Arabidopsis thaliana: one gene and its partners. The protein of the gene in region 1 interacts with the protein of each later gene in a pairwise test. Each region holds a gene or a part of one and is shown in the gene's direction. Other genes may lie near its edges.

What was found.
Region 2: the proteins of AT5G13400 (region 1) and AT5G67130 interact in a protein complementation assay, tested with the Arabidopsis thaliana proteins (one large-scale study listed by BioGRID).
Region 3: the proteins of AT5G13400 (region 1) and PLDGAMMA3 interact in a protein complementation assay, tested with the Arabidopsis thaliana proteins (one large-scale study listed by BioGRID).

Annotation. Positions count from the first base shown.
Region 1 is NC_003076.8:4,296,144-4,300,893, reverse strand, and holds AT5G13400 (Major facilitator superfamily protein), read left to right. Parts: upstream 1-1,629; 5' UTR 1,630-1,814; coding exon 1,815-2,040; intron 2,041-2,127; coding exon 2,128-2,345; intron 2,346-2,522; coding exon 2,523-3,103; intron 3,104-3,190; coding exon 3,191-4,040; 3' UTR 4,041-4,206; downstream 4,207-4,750. Other genes in the region: AT5G13410 (FKBP-like peptidyl-prolyl cis-trans isomerase family protein), read left to right, coding at 69-119, 296-376, 467-511, 632-687, 814-889, 969-1,064; NEF1 (no exine formation 1), read right to left, coding at 4,322-4,750.
Region 2 is NC_003076.8:26,789,359-26,794,387, forward strand, and holds AT5G67130 (PLC-like phosphodiesterases superfamily protein), read left to right. Parts: upstream 1-1,940; 5' UTR 1,941-2,240; coding exon 2,241-2,345; intron 2,346-2,439; coding exon 2,440-2,562; intron 2,563-2,799; coding exon 2,800-2,937; intron 2,938-3,018; coding exon 3,019-3,117; intron 3,118-3,209; coding exon 3,210-3,513; intron 3,514-3,599; coding exon 3,600-3,823; intron 3,824-3,895; coding exon 3,896-3,982; intron 3,983-4,090; coding exon 4,091-4,291; 3' UTR 4,292-4,524; downstream 4,525-5,029. Other genes in the region: AT5G67120 (RING/U-box superfamily protein), read right to left, coding at 1-104, 182-379; AT5G67140 (F-box/RNI-like superfamily protein), read right to left, coding at 4,651-4,866, 4,946-5,029.
Region 3 is NC_003075.7:7,121,455-7,127,989, reverse strand, and holds PLDGAMMA3 (phospholipase D gamma 3), read left to right. Parts: upstream 1-1,672; 5' UTR 1,673-2,107; coding exon 2,108-3,091; intron 3,092-3,492; coding exon 3,493-3,609; intron 3,610-3,699; coding exon 3,700-3,894; intron 3,895-3,984; coding exon 3,985-4,233; intron 4,234-4,327; coding exon 4,328-4,396; intron 4,397-4,476; coding exon 4,477-4,624; intron 4,625-4,704; coding exon 4,705-4,853; intron 4,854-4,933; coding exon 4,934-5,131; intron 5,132-5,218; coding exon 5,219-5,416; intron 5,417-5,544; coding exon 5,545-5,838; 3' UTR 5,839-6,025; downstream 6,026-6,535. Other genes in the region: AT4G11845 (Interleukin-1 receptor-associated kinase 4 protein), read left to right, coding at 1-31, 358-466, 565-650, 854-939, 1,030-1,096. UniProt on the Arabidopsis thaliana protein: Hydrolyzes glycerol-phospholipids at the terminal phosphodiesteric bond to generate phosphatidic acids (PA).

The DNA of each region.
Region 1 (4,750 bases):
CATATCTTATATCTAATATAGTTTAGACTATGCGGTGATCATTAACTTGAAGATTTGAGATGCTGCAGGATTTGCGAGTAGGAACTGGGCCTATAGCAAAAAAGGGAGACAAAGTTGTGGTAAGGAAATTTCTGCATATCTATGGTTTTGTATCCTTGGTCTCAAGTTTATCTAGAAGTTTGCTCTGGTTAGAGAGTTTGGAGTTTGCTTTGCTTGTATCTATGTTAGCAAATTAATGTTTCAAAGACCATAGGTTTTGCTAGTAGTTATAAATAATTGAAGCTGGGTATGTTAGGTTGACTGGGACGGTTACACAATAGGGTACTATGGACGCATATTTGAAGCTCGCAATAAAACAAAAGGGGGTTCTTTTGAGGTATAAACACGTTTTGGCTCTTTTTTTTTTTGTTTCATTAGCTACAATGATACAGTCCTTAATCTTTGTTTTCTTTTTGTGAATCTGTAGGGCGATGATAAGGAATTTTTCAAATTTACCTTAGGATCCAATGAGGTGGGCGAAATTCCAAGTCCTTCTAGTTGCTATATGGGTTTTACCGGTTTAAAGAATGGATTTTGTTACTGATTGTATGAATTGTTTCTTTCTGGATGCTGCATGATTTTGGTGTTCCAGGTGATACCTGCTTTTGAGGAGGCTGTCTCTGGGATGGCTCTCGGTGGTATCAGAAGGTTCAACATCTTTCTAATATTTCTAACTCTACACATCCTCCATATGTTTTTCATATAGAACTCACTCTTCACACAAATGGTAGACGGTAGAATGAATCAGTGTAAATAATTAGCTTGGTATTGCAGGATAATTGTACCGCCAGAACTAGGATACCCGGATAATGACTACAACAAGAGTGGGCCGAGGCCGATGACTTTCTCTGTGAGCCTTATGTTTGTTTTATGTAAACATGTATAAGAAAGACATAAGTTTTAAATGTTGTCTCTTTATGTTTGCGCAGGGACAACGTGCATTAGATTTTGTGCTGAGGAACCAAGGGCTCATAGACAAGACACTTCTCTTTGATGTTGAACTCCTCAAAATTGTACCCAATTGATGTAACATCGACAGTCTTAACTCACGTACATATATATTTATTTATGATGTGTATACTACATTGGCACATTTGTGTAAATTGAGCTCAGTTTATATCATATAATGTTAGCTCTTTTTAGGAGTGTTAAAAAAAAAAATAGCCATGCATCACCAACTAACTGTTCATCATGTTAATTCTGCTTCCTCTTTTTAGTTATATTATCCCTTATAGTGAGGTAAGTTATTATAACATTTCATAGAAAGTTTAGAATAAAATGAAATGTGAACACAAAAACCAGTGTAAGCAGCTTCTGTTGTTTTGACTTTATTGAGTAGCCAATGTTGGTTCAATGTCAGAGTCATCATTAATGGAGACTGCAAAAATAAAAGAACAAGTTGCAGTGACGCATTGTAGAAGTCCTTCAATGAGTTTATGTCTTTCAAGGACAAAACATATCAAATGAATCCACATTTCTCTAAATAAGTCCTTTCTTGAACGTTGAAACTGTGGACATCATGGGAGTCCACGTGCAATAAATGCCAGTCCTATATCTACCACTTACCAGCTAAGCTCCGTCTATTTAATTCCATCTTCCCATTTTAAGCTACTGCATTTATACATTTCTCTAACCAATCCTCATACATCCTTTTCTGCTTACAGATTTTGTTTGGCTGGATTAATTATTTCATTTATTAACTTAAGCTCTCTTGCTGTTTTTGGTCACTCTGATGCTTTCAGTTTCCATGGTTTTATGAGAAAATATCATTGATTATGGTTGCTTCTGAGATTAAATCCCCGGTGAGTGTCCCCGAGACTCCGGGAAGCTCCTCTGTGCATCATAGGAAGCAGTTGAGTGTGTTCTTCATAGAATCAGATAACAGACGTCTTGCTCTTGGCCGTGGCTATACCGGAGGAACCACTCCCGTTAACATCCATGGCAAACCCATCGCCAATCTTTCCAAAACCGGTGGTTGGATCGCAGCTTTCTTCATTTTTGGTAACTTTCTTTTCACTTACATCTAGATTATCAGTAGTTCTACGTGCAGTGCAGCTTAGTTTTGGTGGAATGGTTGCAATGTTTTAGGAAATGAAATGGCAGAGAGAATGGCGTATTTCGGACTCTCGGTGAACATGGTGGCGTTCATGTTCTACGTAATGCATAGGCCTTTTGAAAGTTCATCAAACGCAGTCAACAACTTCCTTGGCATCTCTCAAGCCTCCTCTGTTCTTGGAGGCTTCTTAGCCGACGCTTACTTGGGTCGATACTGGACTATTGCCATCTTCACTACCATGTATCTTGTCGTAAGTAGTACTGTTTTGTTCTCTGTATTTTGTTTATTTATTTATTTATGACTTATGGTTAAGGTCTTGTGCAAATGGTGCAATTTGAAGAACATCGTCTAATACGCAAGACCGAACATATGTTATGTGATGGATACTTTGAAATCTTTTCTTTTCTTTTGTTTTGCATGTGAAAAGGGTTTGATAGGAATAACATTGGGGGCAAGTTTGAAGATGTTCGTACCAGACCAGAGCAACTGTGGCCAGTTATCATTGCTCTTAGGAAATTGTGAAGAAGCCAAATCTTGGCAAATGCTTTATCTCTACACGGTTCTCTACATAACCGGATTCGGAGCTGCTGGTATAAGGCCATGTGTTTCCTCATTTGGTGCTGACCAGTTTGATGAGAAGAGCAAAGACTACAAGACACATTTAGACCGTTTCTTCAACTTCTTCTATCTATCGGTCACTTTAGGCGCAATCATTGCCTTCACTTTGGTGGTATATGTTCAAATGGAACTTGGTTGGGGTATGGCTTTTGGCACATTGGCCGTAGCCATGGGGATTTCTAATGCTTTGTTCTTTGCTGGTACACCGCTTTATCGGCATAGGTTGCCTGGTGGTAGTCCCTTGACTAGGGTAGCTCAGGTCTTAGTTGCCGCTTTCCGCAAACGAAATGCAGCTTTCACAAGCAGTGAGTTCATCGGTCTTTACGAAGTTCCTGGCTTGAAATCTGCTATTAATGGCAGTCGTAAAATCCCTCATTCCAATGATTTCATGTAAGGCTTCTTCTTTTGTGTACATCTTCCTATAAGGAAAATAAAACTTAATACTAGTATTTATCAGTCGAATGAATTCATATGCAGATGGCTAGACAAGGCGGCACTTGAGTTGAAAGAAGATGGATTGGAACCATCTCCATGGAAGCTATGCACAGTAACACAAGTAGAGGAAGTGAAGATTCTGATCAGATTGATTCCAATCCCAACATGCACTATAATGCTGAGTCTGGTCTTGACTGAGTATCTTACACTCTCAGTGCAACAAGCTTACACACTCAACACACACATTCAACACCTCAAGCTTCCAGTGACCTGCATGCCAGTTTTCCCAGGCCTAAGCATTTTCCTCATTCTCTCCCTTTATTACTCTGTCTTCGTCCCTATCACCAGAAGAATCACTGGCAATCCTCATGGTGCTTCCCAGCTTCAAAGAGTGGGCATAGGGCTAGCAGTTTCAATCATATCAGTAGCTTGGGCTGGGCTATTCGAGAACTACAGGAGACATTACGCGATACAAAATGGTTTTGAGTTCAACTTCTTGACCCAAATGCCTGATCTAACCGCGTACTGGTTGTTAATCCAGTACTGTCTCATCGGAATCGCAGAGGTTTTCTGCATAGTAGGGCTATTGGAGTTCCTTTACGAGGAAGCTCCGGATGCTATGAAGAGTATTGGTTCGGCTTACGCTGCTCTAGCCGGCGGGTTAGGGTGTTTTGCTGCCACCATTTTGAACAATATTGTCAAGGCTGCGACTCGGGACTCAGATGGGAAATCGTGGTTATCGCAGAACATAAACACGGGGAGATTCGACTGCTTGTACTGGTTGCTCACACTTCTGAGCTTTTTGAATTTCTGTGTGTTCCTTTGGTCAGCGCATAGGTACAAGTACCGAGCTATCGAGTCTGAGGAAGACAAGAGTAGTGCTGTTCTTTAAAGACACCACTTCTGTGTTCTCTTCTCGTTATTCTTTTTGATAAAACAGCAGTAATTGTATCATCCTACTTTGCTTTCCTATAGCTAATGTTTAAGGGTGGAAAATCCGCTAAACGTGATTGTTCGTTTGTAAGAAGACCAATAAAATTAAGTTGTTCAAACGTCGTATATTGGCAATTTCCAATGCATCCACTGAGAAACAAAGCTGGGAAATGAAAACACTGTTTCACAAATTCTGTTACAAAAAGGGTCGAAAACATTACTAATCAATCCTACGACTGTCTAAATATACCTCAGCCCTTTCATATATTGTTGCCTAGATATCACATACTGAGCCGCAGAGTAAACAATGCCTAAAACTCCCAGAACCCTAACTTGAAACACGTCTGTTATTATTACGGCTGCAAAGCTAAGTGGCACGGTCAGCATCGGCGACGCGTCTGTGTGTTTGGTGGTGTAACTCCAAACGTACCTGTTGAATATGATGTGACCTGGTGCTGTGAGTATTAGGAGAGCCAGGTTCTTCACCGCAAAAAACCATTCACGGCCTCCAATTTCGACTCCCCAACCTGTGTTTCCACCAAACCAAACTTCTTCCCATACAGTGTAGAGCGAGGATAATGCCAAATATGTTGATATGGCTACTGTAACCGGGAAGTATCTCTGTTTATCACCAAACCCGGATAAGAGATCAGAGTCTTGGTTCAGGAG
Region 2 (5,029 bases), about 22 Mb from region 1:
AAGGTGTTTCCATGAGAAGATACATCTGTATACTCTACTACTGATGTTGTTTCAGATTGTTCATCGTTCCATGATTGTAACGAGTCCTGCTCGAACGTTGTTTCCTAAACAATTTTCATGTCTATATTATATCCAAATAAATTATTTCTCTTAAAAAAAACATTAGATAATAGATAATTACCCAACTAATTGTCCTCAGAAGGGAACCGGGCTCTATTGCCGGACCATCACCGTTCACATCAAGCGTTGGATCTGGTGAGATGTCATCAGCATCAACTGGTGAGTAAGTGTCCCATAGATCCCAGTCGTCTCCAAATAGTAGCCACATGAAGCTAAAAGGACTATCCGGTATCTCAGAATTGTCTTCGTTTGGATCCATACTTTTGGAGAAACATATTACCTGACTCAAAATTTTTTTTCAAGGGGCTAGATTAAGCTGAATTTATATAGATAATTAACACTTTCAAGTATCATCACCATTTAACTCTTCCATTCAAATGCAAATACTTGAGTGGACAGGATAGTCTTAATATTGATAAAGTAATAGAAAAAATAAAGACGTTATGAACAAAGAAAAACCACTAAATATATTGTAGCTCAGTTAAAGGAAAAATATATATACCAAATTAAGGCTTAAACGATAAATAATGCATATAACCCACTTTTCAGTGCCTCCATGGATAAAAGGATTTAGCAACTTTAAGGAAAAAAGGTTTATACCAAAAAAAAGTTCAAGGAGAAAAAGACCACTGATTTACAATTGTTGGGTAGTTTGAAGTCCCAAAATGTTAAAAATTCAATTAAAAAAATTGTGACAGCTAATAAAAATGGAACTTTAGCTGGATTCGGAAGATTTATTTTATTGAAAATAAGGATTCTGTTTTAATTATAGCTCTAATACAGTTGAATTGGTTTTTTATAGAAAAACATTTCTTTATTGAATTTTCTTCAATGGAAAAATATCATTTTAGAGTGAATAAGTACAAAAAATAATAAATGTTGCTTTCAACAAAAAAAGGAAGGAAATTTTATGTTTTGGCTTTGTATATTTGCTTTCAACGTCATTAAAACGCTTTTTAAACCGGAGATATGCATCTTGTTTTCCTCATTTACAAGTTCACAAGATGATTAATTACATTACTTGGGTCATGGGCTTAAAAAGAGAGAGTTTGGGTCCAACTAAAAAGGCTCAGTAAAATACGTAAATGGGCCTAGCGTTATAGCGAGAGGCAGAGAGAGAATTTACACGACGACGACGTCATACTCAATGGACGTAAATGTCCAAACTACAAAAGTTTTTTTTTTTTTTTGTGTATTAAAAAAAAAATCTCAAGTTAAAAACACATCAAGAGTATATTACAGCAACTTGTGTGTTAAATCACCAATTGTGAATAAATCGGTTATGGAAATCAATCATTTTTTTTTTTGGTTTAATGGAAATTAATCATTTGATCGTTAAGAGTGTCACTAATTCGATACGTCACTTGCTGACGAATCTGCAGATGAAATAGGCATGGTATGATAAATCTCGTTAAGAATAAAATTTCACCTAGATGTTTGAGTAATTTTTGTAAGATGATGAAAATTGTAACATTTTTCATTGAAAGAAGCAAAGAGACAAGCAACAAGACAAGAGTGTCCCCACGCATGTGAGCACCGTTAACCATAATAGAAAAAAGATATCTTCATCTAATAATAGGTGAAAAAATCTTATAACTGAGCAAATTTTAGAGAATGAAAATAGTGATCTGTGAAATAATTTTTTTTTTTTTTATGATAGACCTCACCTAACAACTAGAAGAAATAATATAAAACCATTATTACTTATATTGATAAACTCTTACAAGATCACTGTTTCCATAAATCTTGACAAAAATGTCACTCCATATGTTTGGTGTACAAGACTAGAAACTGTAGTTTTGAGTTATGTTATTATAATGTTAAACTGTATTATGCTCAAAATTGAACTCCTTTTGAAAGGTGGTTTATCTTCTTTACTAATCGTTTCTTCATTTTCTCTCTAGGAGCTAGGTGGGAAAAAGATTCAACCTTGTCTTAGAAAAAGAAAACCAAAGCTAATCTTTTTCTTTTGTACCTCTCTTTCAAGGATTAACAAAACAAATCGATGAAGCCCGGGTTTTAGTACCTAAACATCTCTTTGTCTCGTCTTTGAAAACCCCCCCAAGTAGATCCAACATCATTCATATCTCTCTCTCTATCTCTGCATAAGCTACGGAGCGATGTCGGCGTGCATCAATGGCTTATGCAGAGCCGTGACTGTCTCTCTTCTTCTTCTTCTTCTTTCTTTCTCTTTTTCCTCAGCTTGCTCCAATGGAAATTGCCAGGTTCTTGATTCTCTTTGCTTATTATTCTCTGGTTTATGGCTATCAAATTTGGGTCTAAATCTTTAGGGATTTTGCATTTTTGTGTCTCTTTCAGCTGCTGGATTCATGCTCCTCGGCTACTGATTGTGTCTCTGGTTTATACTGTGGAGACTGTCCTGCCGTTGGAAGAAGTAAACCCGTCTGCACAAGAGGCCAAGCCACAAGTCCAACTTCCATTGTGAGATTTAGTTCCTATAATTAGTTGGATTTCTCTAGAGTTTCCAATTTTTGAAGATGCGTTGTTTCAAAAGATAGTCTAGATCACTTGGTCTATCAAAAGTTTTGAACTTTGAAGATGGGTTTTGCTGAAGATTTCATTTGGTTGCATTAAAAGATAGTCTAGATCATTTGGTTGTATCAAAAGTTTTGAACTTTGAAGATGTGGTGATGAAATTTGTGTGTGTGTTTTTTGTAGATCAATGGATTGCCTTTTAACAAGTATACATGGTTGATGACTCATAATGCCTTTAGCAATGCAAATGCACCACTTTTGCCAGGTGTTGAGAGGATTACATTTTACAATCAAGAAGATACTATTACTAATCAGCTACAAGTAATGCTCTTATTACCAACTCTCTTATTATAGTTTCCTCTTTTTTTGGATAAAACTCTTGAATGTATATTTTTGTTCTAGAATGGAGTTAGAGGGCTAATGCTGGATATGTATGACTTCAACAATGATATCTGGCTTTGCCATTCGCTTCGAGGGCAATGTTTCAACTTCACCGCTTTTGTAAGTTTTATCTTCAGCTTAACCTTGCTGGATCGAAAGCTTGAAACCTGATTGGATTGGTAAATGTGAACTTTGTTTTCTTTTTGAATCAGCAACCTGCAATTAACATACTGAGGGAAGTTGAGGCATTTCTGAGTCAAAACCCAACAGAGATTGTTACCATCATAATAGAGGATTATGTGCACAGACCTAAAGGCTTATCAACACTGTTTGCCAACGCTGGTTTGGACAAATACTGGTTCCCTGTTTCGAAAATGCCTAGAAAGGGAGAAGATTGGCCTACTGTGACTGACATGGTGCAAGAGAATCATAGGCTCCTGGTTTTCACTTCTGTTGCTGCCAAAGAAGATGAAGAAGGCGTTGCGTATCAGTGGAGATACATGGTTGAAAATGAATGTGCGTATTACACACAGTTTATATCTTTAATGAAAATTGTCTCTGAGAATAACCTTCTCTTGCCATTTTCTTATGATTGTCTAAAGCTGGGGATCCCGGAGTGAAGCGAGGTTCTTGTCCTAACAGAAAAGAGTCTCAACCTTTAAATTCAAAAAGTTCTTCGCTATTCTTGATGAATTACTTCCCGACATATCCGGTTGAGAAAGACGCTTGCAAGGAGCACTCAGCTCCACTTGCTGAGATGGTTGGGACTTGTCTCAAGTCAGGAGGGAATAGAATGCCAAACTTTCTTGCTGTTAACTTCTACATGGTACTGAATCAATCATATAACTATAATATGACTGTTTTTACGAGATCTAGCTAACAAACCATAATATTGCAGAGAAGTGATGGAGGCGGCGTTTTCGAAATTCTGGATAGAATGAATGGACCGGTACTTTGCGGTTGTGAAACTCTTTCTGCTTGCCAGGTATTAACTTATTAACTCGCGCCAAAGTTACTTATGGGTATGAAATAAGATCTTACAAGCCTAAATTATCTAAAACCGGCACCCGTATTTTGGTTCTTGATGTTGCAGCCAGGAGCAGCTTATGGTTCATGCAAAAATGTTACTGTACAGACAAGAACTCCAAGCATGGATTCAACGGCTGGAAGCAACTCAGGTGGAAGCTACTCAGGTTCAGTTCAGTTCTCAAGATCTTTAGCTTCTGTGGCCCAACTAAACAACATTGTTGTCTTCTGCTTCTCATTGCTTCCGTTGCTGATATTTCTACTATGACACAACCAATCAAACCACGTGGAGAGATTCTTAGGTTAGAGAATCTTGATCACTTCTTTAGAACGAATGAGAGAGCCTAAGTTGACATGAATTGCCTTAGAAAGAGTTTCTGATTTGATTCTTGTATTGTAGACTGCAGAGCTATAGGCAGAAATCTTGTGTATGTGTGTCTTCAGCTTCTGTTGATTGTTATGCAACTTATATATATATATATATAGACACAATTCTACTCCAATAGAAACTTTACTGAATATTTATATATATATGTTGTTGATTGATGAGAGAACACATAAGATATATGCAGATTCAATTGTATGAATTACTATGTACACAACAAACAAGAAATATGATGAGCAACACTAGACAGCATGCAGCAACGGTGGTGGATTCTGAGCATTGAGAAGCAATTCCATGGGTTTGATCTGAAGAGCAGGACTGATGGTAAGTAAAGCAATGAAGCAATCTACAGGAACTCTAGTTCCCCATAAGTTGATGGATTCGAGTTTTCTGCATTTGTTTACAAGAACAAGAAGGCCTCTCTCTGTCACATGACGGCAACACCACATTCCGATTGTCTGCATAAAGGATTCCAATTTCGAAAGCGTGATTCTCATGAATCTAGAGAGAATTATTTGGTTAGATGATTGTTGTTACCTTAAGCTGATGGCAGCGTTCTGCAATTGCGAAAAGAGACTCATCGGTTATAAATGTTCCTCCTATGTTTAGGTGTTGCAGTGA
Region 3 (6,535 bases), on another chromosome or scaffold:
TCGGAGAGTATGCTCCAATCTATTTCCCATGGTACGTATCTCTCTGTTTTCATTTTTTTCAGTTCCTTTTAGCCGAGATTGATGATTGGAATTGAAACCATCAAATTTCGAAACTGGGTTTTCTTAGATCTTGTCAATTGGAATTAATTTTAGTGAGTCTGGTAGTTAACGATAGATTTGGGTGATGGTTTGTGTTTGAACGTTCTCCTTTTCCTGCTTAAGCATGAACCTTACTTAATCAAGCTCTGTAATGCTGGCATTTATTTTGGTGAATATATTGATTCAATGTTTCTTTATCTCTCTGAGTGATCTGTATTTGAAGTCGTAAAATTTTGTTTATCTTTCATCGGTTTTTAGGATGGGAATCCCAGGTTGTCTTGCTTTGGACTCATGAAAAGTAGCAGAGATGGGAAGAGTTATATAGCACTAACTTGGCATTTACTCCTACAGAGAAATTTGCTAACGGGTAAAACTCTCTCTGCTTCATGTTTATATATGTCCAAAATATTTCAGGGCACAAAGTTCCCAAAGCTAAATCCACTTTCTTCATCTTGTGTCAGGTAGAGTTACACCAGAGAGTGTATTATGTTTTCAGTTTTGGAACCGTTTTGCTCGATCTCATTAGTGGAAAACATATTCCACCGAGCCATGTAAGTTCTCTACTAATAGAAGATATATAAACTTTAGATGTAATGTAGGACCTGGCTCTTTGTTTCTTGCTGGATAGTTCTTGGAAGGAATCTCTAGTTCAGTCCTTACTAAAATCTAAATGATGATCATCATCGTTTTTCCTGCCTCATTCTTTCTCAGACATCCTTTGGTGATGATGCATGCTTAAGAGTGAATCTTACAGCCATACAGGAAATACTGCTTAAGAATGGATCTTACAGCCATACAGGAAATACTTAGTAAGATTGGATACAAGGAATTGCCATTGAGGTGTTAATCTATTCCTTCCTCTCGCTTACTACTTAGTCTTTTGCATTAGGGACTTGTTTTGAATATGATTTTATTTACCTTCTTCTGCAGCTCTCGTTTCAAATGTGGACAACCCAGATGCAGGAATCTCTCTTTTCAAAGAAGCAAGGGGACTTAGCTTTCCGATCCAAAGATTTTACAACCGCAATCGATTGCTACACTCAGGTAATATCTCTAAATGCAACATACCTCTTTAATTACATGCCAAGAGCCATCATAGGGCTAGACATTCAGTCATCATAGGGCTACACATAACTGGAATGATTCATGGGCCGAAAAGGATGAAAAAAGTTTGTATGGTTCCTTGTATTGAAAGACATCTAAATACAAAAATTTGATTTTTGTCCCTTATGAACCTTAACCATTGGAGGACTATTTTTATAAGATACTCTCATTTTGTTCTTAGCTTAGAAATAACAAAACTTTAATAGAAATAATTGTTAAGATCCAAGGTTAACCATTAGAGATGCTCTTAGTTTACATGTCTAATCTGGGATCCAAAAAGACATAGTAGCAAAAAAAAAATTTAAAGCTTGTAACTGATTTCATTTAAAGAAAATTTCATGCTTTATTTATTAATTACACTACTATATGATTTAATTTAATAATTATGTCAATCAAATTGAAGTTACATCAAAAGAGGGACCAGAGAGAAAGAGTTTCGTGAGCAGCTAAAAACCAAAGTGGGGAAGTCTTCTTTCTTAGTCGTCGTTACTAAAACACAAATAGTTTATTTGGCATTTGTGTTTAAGTAAAGATGAAACATCTTATATATGTGTCATTAATGGCTAAAGTTAGACGATTCCACAACGGCAGCCAAAAATCCTTGAAATTTTCCGATTCTTCCGTTTCAAGTCAACGTTTTCCTTCGCTCCCTCTCACCTTCTTCTTCACAAAAACCTGAACTTTAATTTGAATTTGCCCATATTTTTAGATCCACATTTATTCATTGATTTGCTCTGAGTTTGTATTATCTCAAAGTTTTATCCTTTTGTTGAATCTTGATCTCTCGATTATTCCCCACCAAGCACCAAGTGATCGATCTTTTGTCTCACTGAACTGGGTTATGCTTGAGATTTGATCTGACAACTAAGAGTTTCCTACTTTTGCGTTTTGAGTTTTGTTTTTCATGGCGTATCATCCAGTTTATAACGAGACTATGTCTATGGGAGGAGGGTCAAGCAACGAGTTTGGCCAGTGGCTTGACAAGCAACTCGTGCCGTTTGATACAAGTAGTGGCTCTTTGAGGGTTGAATTATTACATGGTAACTTAGACATTTGGGTTAAGGAAGCTAAACATCTTCCTAACATGGATGGTTTCCATAACACCCTTGTTGGTGGGATGTTTTTTGGGTTAGGTCGGAGGAATCATAAAGTGGATGGTGAGAATTCTTCTAAGATCACAAGTGATCCTTATGTTACTGTCTCTATCTCTGGTGCTGTGATTGGTAGAACTTTTGTTATTAGCAATAGTGAGAATCCTGTGTGGATGCAGCATTTTGATGTACCAGTTGCTCATAGTGCTGCGAAAGTTCACTTTGTTGTGAAAGACAGTGATATTATTGGATCACAGATCATTGGAGCTGTTGAAATCCCAACCGAGCAGTTGTGTTCCGGGAATAGAATCGAAGGGCTGTTTCCGATACTTAACAGTAGAGGAAAGCCTTGTAAACAAGGTGCTGTGTTGAGTCTGTCTATTCAGTATATTCCAATGGAAAGAATGAGACTTTACCAAAAGGGTGTTGGTTTTGGTGTTGAATGTGTAGGAGTTCCCGGTACATACTTCCCTTTAAGGAAAGGCGGTAGGGTTACTCTTTATCAGGATGCTCATGTTGATGACGGTACTCTTCCGAGTGTACATCTTGATGGTGGGATTCAGTATAGACATGGAAAATGCTGGGAAGATATGGCTGATGCGATACGACGGGCAAGGAGGTTGATTTATATCACAGGTTGGTCAGTTTTCCATCCGGTTAGGCTGGTTCGTCGTAACAATGATCCGACCCAAGGTACATTAGGAGAGTTGCTTAAAGTCAAATCTCAAGAAGGTGTTAGAGTGTTGGTTTTGGTGTGGGATGATCCAACTTCAAGGAGTCTTTTGGGATTCAGTACAGTAAGAATCTACATAACTCTGTTTTTTTCTGATTAAGACATTCTATTATTGCTTACCCATAAAATCAAACATGTATATATATATATATATAATTTTATGGAGTGCCTCTCTGTTTTGTTTCTCCATTTTGATTTATAGCTTATCACTTAAATAATTCTATGGAGTGCCTCTCTGTTTGTACACAGTTTTGAATGGTCTAATGTGTTGTTCTTAACTTCTCACATAGTCACATATTTGGTTGTTTCAGTTGCATTTCATACTTTCCTCTATTGTTTCAGTTCTGACCCTTTTTCTGTTTATCTTATTGGAAAGCATGAGTTTGCTTCAATTAGATAATTATACTAACTTAGCTACAATCCTTCTATCTATTTAATTAAAAGCTGGTGTTTTGTTGCATGTAGAAAGGACTTATGAACACAAGCGATGAGGAGACTCGCCGTTTTTTCAAGCACTCATCGGTGCAAGTTCTCCTTTGTCCTAGATATGGAGGGAAAGGTCACAGCTTCATAAAAAAATCTGTAAGATGCTCATTAGTTACTTCATTACTGTGTAAACTCTTGTGTGTATAGCTTCAGCGTCTAAAATTTGAGTGTCATTATGATGATCAGGAAGTTGAAACAATCTACACGCATCATCAGAAAACTATGATTGTAGATGCTGAAGCAGCTCAGAACCGAAGAAAGATTGTAGCATTTGTTGGAGGGCTAGACTTGTGCAACGGACGATTTGATACTCCCAAGCATCCTCTCTTCAGGACATTAAAGACAATCCATAAAGATGACTTCCATAACCCAAATTTTGTGGTAATCATTTAAGAAAAAACCTGCTTGGTTGCAATTTTGGAATTAGAATCCGCTATTCTTGATCCATGTAAATTCTGTTTTTCTTATTAGACTACTGCGGATGATGGACCAAGAGAACCATGGCATGATCTGCACAGCAAGATTGATGGTCCAGCTGCATATGATGTGCTTGCTAATTTTGAGGAACGCTGGATGAAGGCTTCAAAACCTCGCGGAATTGGGAGACTAAGAACTTCTTCTGATGATTCTTTGCTTAGGTTAGACAGAATTCCTGACATAATGGGACTTTCCGAAGCTTCTTCTGCTAATGATAATGATCCAGAGTCTTGGCATGTTCAGGTAATTTAGCAAGTCTAATTTTTTTGCTAGTTATTGTTATTTGTGGTGGTGACAAAAAGAATCTCATTTTTTCTCCAATGATATTAATCTTTAGGTTTTCCGTTCAATTGATTCGAGTTCAGTTAAAGGGTTTCCAAAGGACCCAAAGGAAGCTACTGGAAGAGTAAGATAGCACCACAACTCTGAGCTGTTTTTGTTTGTCATCATGTTGCTATCTCCGACTGATTATGTATTCATGAACAGAACCTTCTATGTGGGAAGAACATTCTCATAGATATGAGCATACATGCAGCTTATGTTAAAGCCATACGATCTGCTCAGCACTTCATTTACATTGAAAACCAATATTTTCTTGGATCATCATTCAATTGGGATTCAAACAAGAACTTGGGTAAGAAACTTTAAAGCTTTTGAAGGAAAGCTTAGTAATCGATGCGTACAATATGTAAACAAGGAGTTTTGGCATTGCAGGTGCGAATAATCTAATCCCGATGGAAATCGCGCTGAAGATTGCTAACAAAATTAGAGCAAGGGAAAAGTTTGCTGCTTATATTGTCATTCCAATGTGGCCAGAAGGTGCTCCAACAAGTAATCCTATTCAAAGAATTCTCTACTGGCAGGTAAAATAATTTTTTGATTCTTTGCTAAAAACAACCCGATCTCACCTTCTTTTTACCGGAATTTTTCACAACCTCTGCAGCACAAAACCATGCAAATGATGTATCAAACCATCTACAAGGCACTTGTGGAAGTTGGTCTTGATGGCCAGCTTGAGCCACAAGACTTTTTGAACTTTTTCTGTCTTGGAACCAGAGAGGTTGGAACCAGAGAGGTTCCTGATGGAACTGTTAGCGTATATAATAGTCCTCGGAAGCCACCTCAGCTAAATGCTGCACAGGTATACATATATTAAATGTCTTCTTTTGAAATCTTCGATTTTGCCTTAATGGGTTCGCTTACTGATTAAAACGACAAACCAATCTAGGTACAAGCTTTGAAGAGTCGGAGATTCATGATATATGTTCATTCCAAAGGTATGGTAGTGGATGATGAGTTTGTCTTAATTGGTTCCGCGAATATCAACCAGAGATCCTTGGAAGGAACTAGAGACACTGAAATCGCTATGGGAGGGTATCAGCCACACCATTCATGGGCTAAGAAAGGTTCTCGTCCTCGTGGTCAGGTAAATAAGACTTTCAGAGACTTCTACTTCTCAATCTAGGATAGCATTCTAAGACGAAAATCTAGAAACCCACCAATGTATGTTCTCTTTAACATGTCTGAACCCTGGTTTGTCTCAATTTCTTGCAGATCTTTGGATATAGAATGTCGTTATGGGCAGAACATCTAGGGTTTCTAGAGCAAGAATTCGAGGAACCAGAGAACATGGAATGCGTGAGACGAGTTAGGCAATTGAGTGAGCTGAATTGGAGACAATATGCAGCGGAAGAAGTCACAGAGATGCCAGGTCATCTTCTTAAGTATCCAGTTCAAGTTGATAGAACAGGCAAAGTGAGTTCTCTTCCTGGATACGAGACATTCCCAGATCTCGGTGGCAAGATCATAGGATCGTTCCTTGTAGTAGAAGAAAACCTCACCATATGAAACTTACCTTGTAGGCTTGTAGTGATCAACATTTGTTCTTTATTTCCTTCACTTCAAGAAATCTATCTGAGTGTGATCTGATTGAAAGTGTGCCTTTAGGGTCTAGTTTTTCAAATTTATGAGCTGTAAATCTATTTATTACAATATTTCAATTGATCTATCAAAGTGTGTGTTGTGGATTTTTACTATATGATTTAATTTAGTAATGTTGTCATATCTTTAGTACTATATGATTACAATATCACATTGGCTTGTAGAAAATGAAAAATGTCATCCTGAAAGAGCTTTTGCCAAATCATTCATAAGATCATGCATCACAAAGCTTGTCATGGTGATATCCAATCTCTGAAAAAAAGATTTGAGCAAACTAAATCACCAAGGTAATTTTTCCAATCTTGTGCTGCTCCTTGGTTGGTATAAGAGGTCTATTGCCATCCATAGCAGCAGTAATTGAGCAGAGGGCAAAGCATCGCTTAAGTTGAGGAGGAAGAGAGTCATAGCTTGGTTTAAGTACTGGAAGGATACTGTTAGTGTAGCTTGAGAAATTCTTTGATGCAATGGCTCGTTCAAGACCTTACACTGTTCTGCAATCCTTTTCCCAATTCCTTCTAGTTCTTGGTTGATTATATTTCCAAAAGGAAATCTAGAGATCAGCTCCCAACATTCTTCATTTGGTAGATTTTTTCATCCTTTGCTA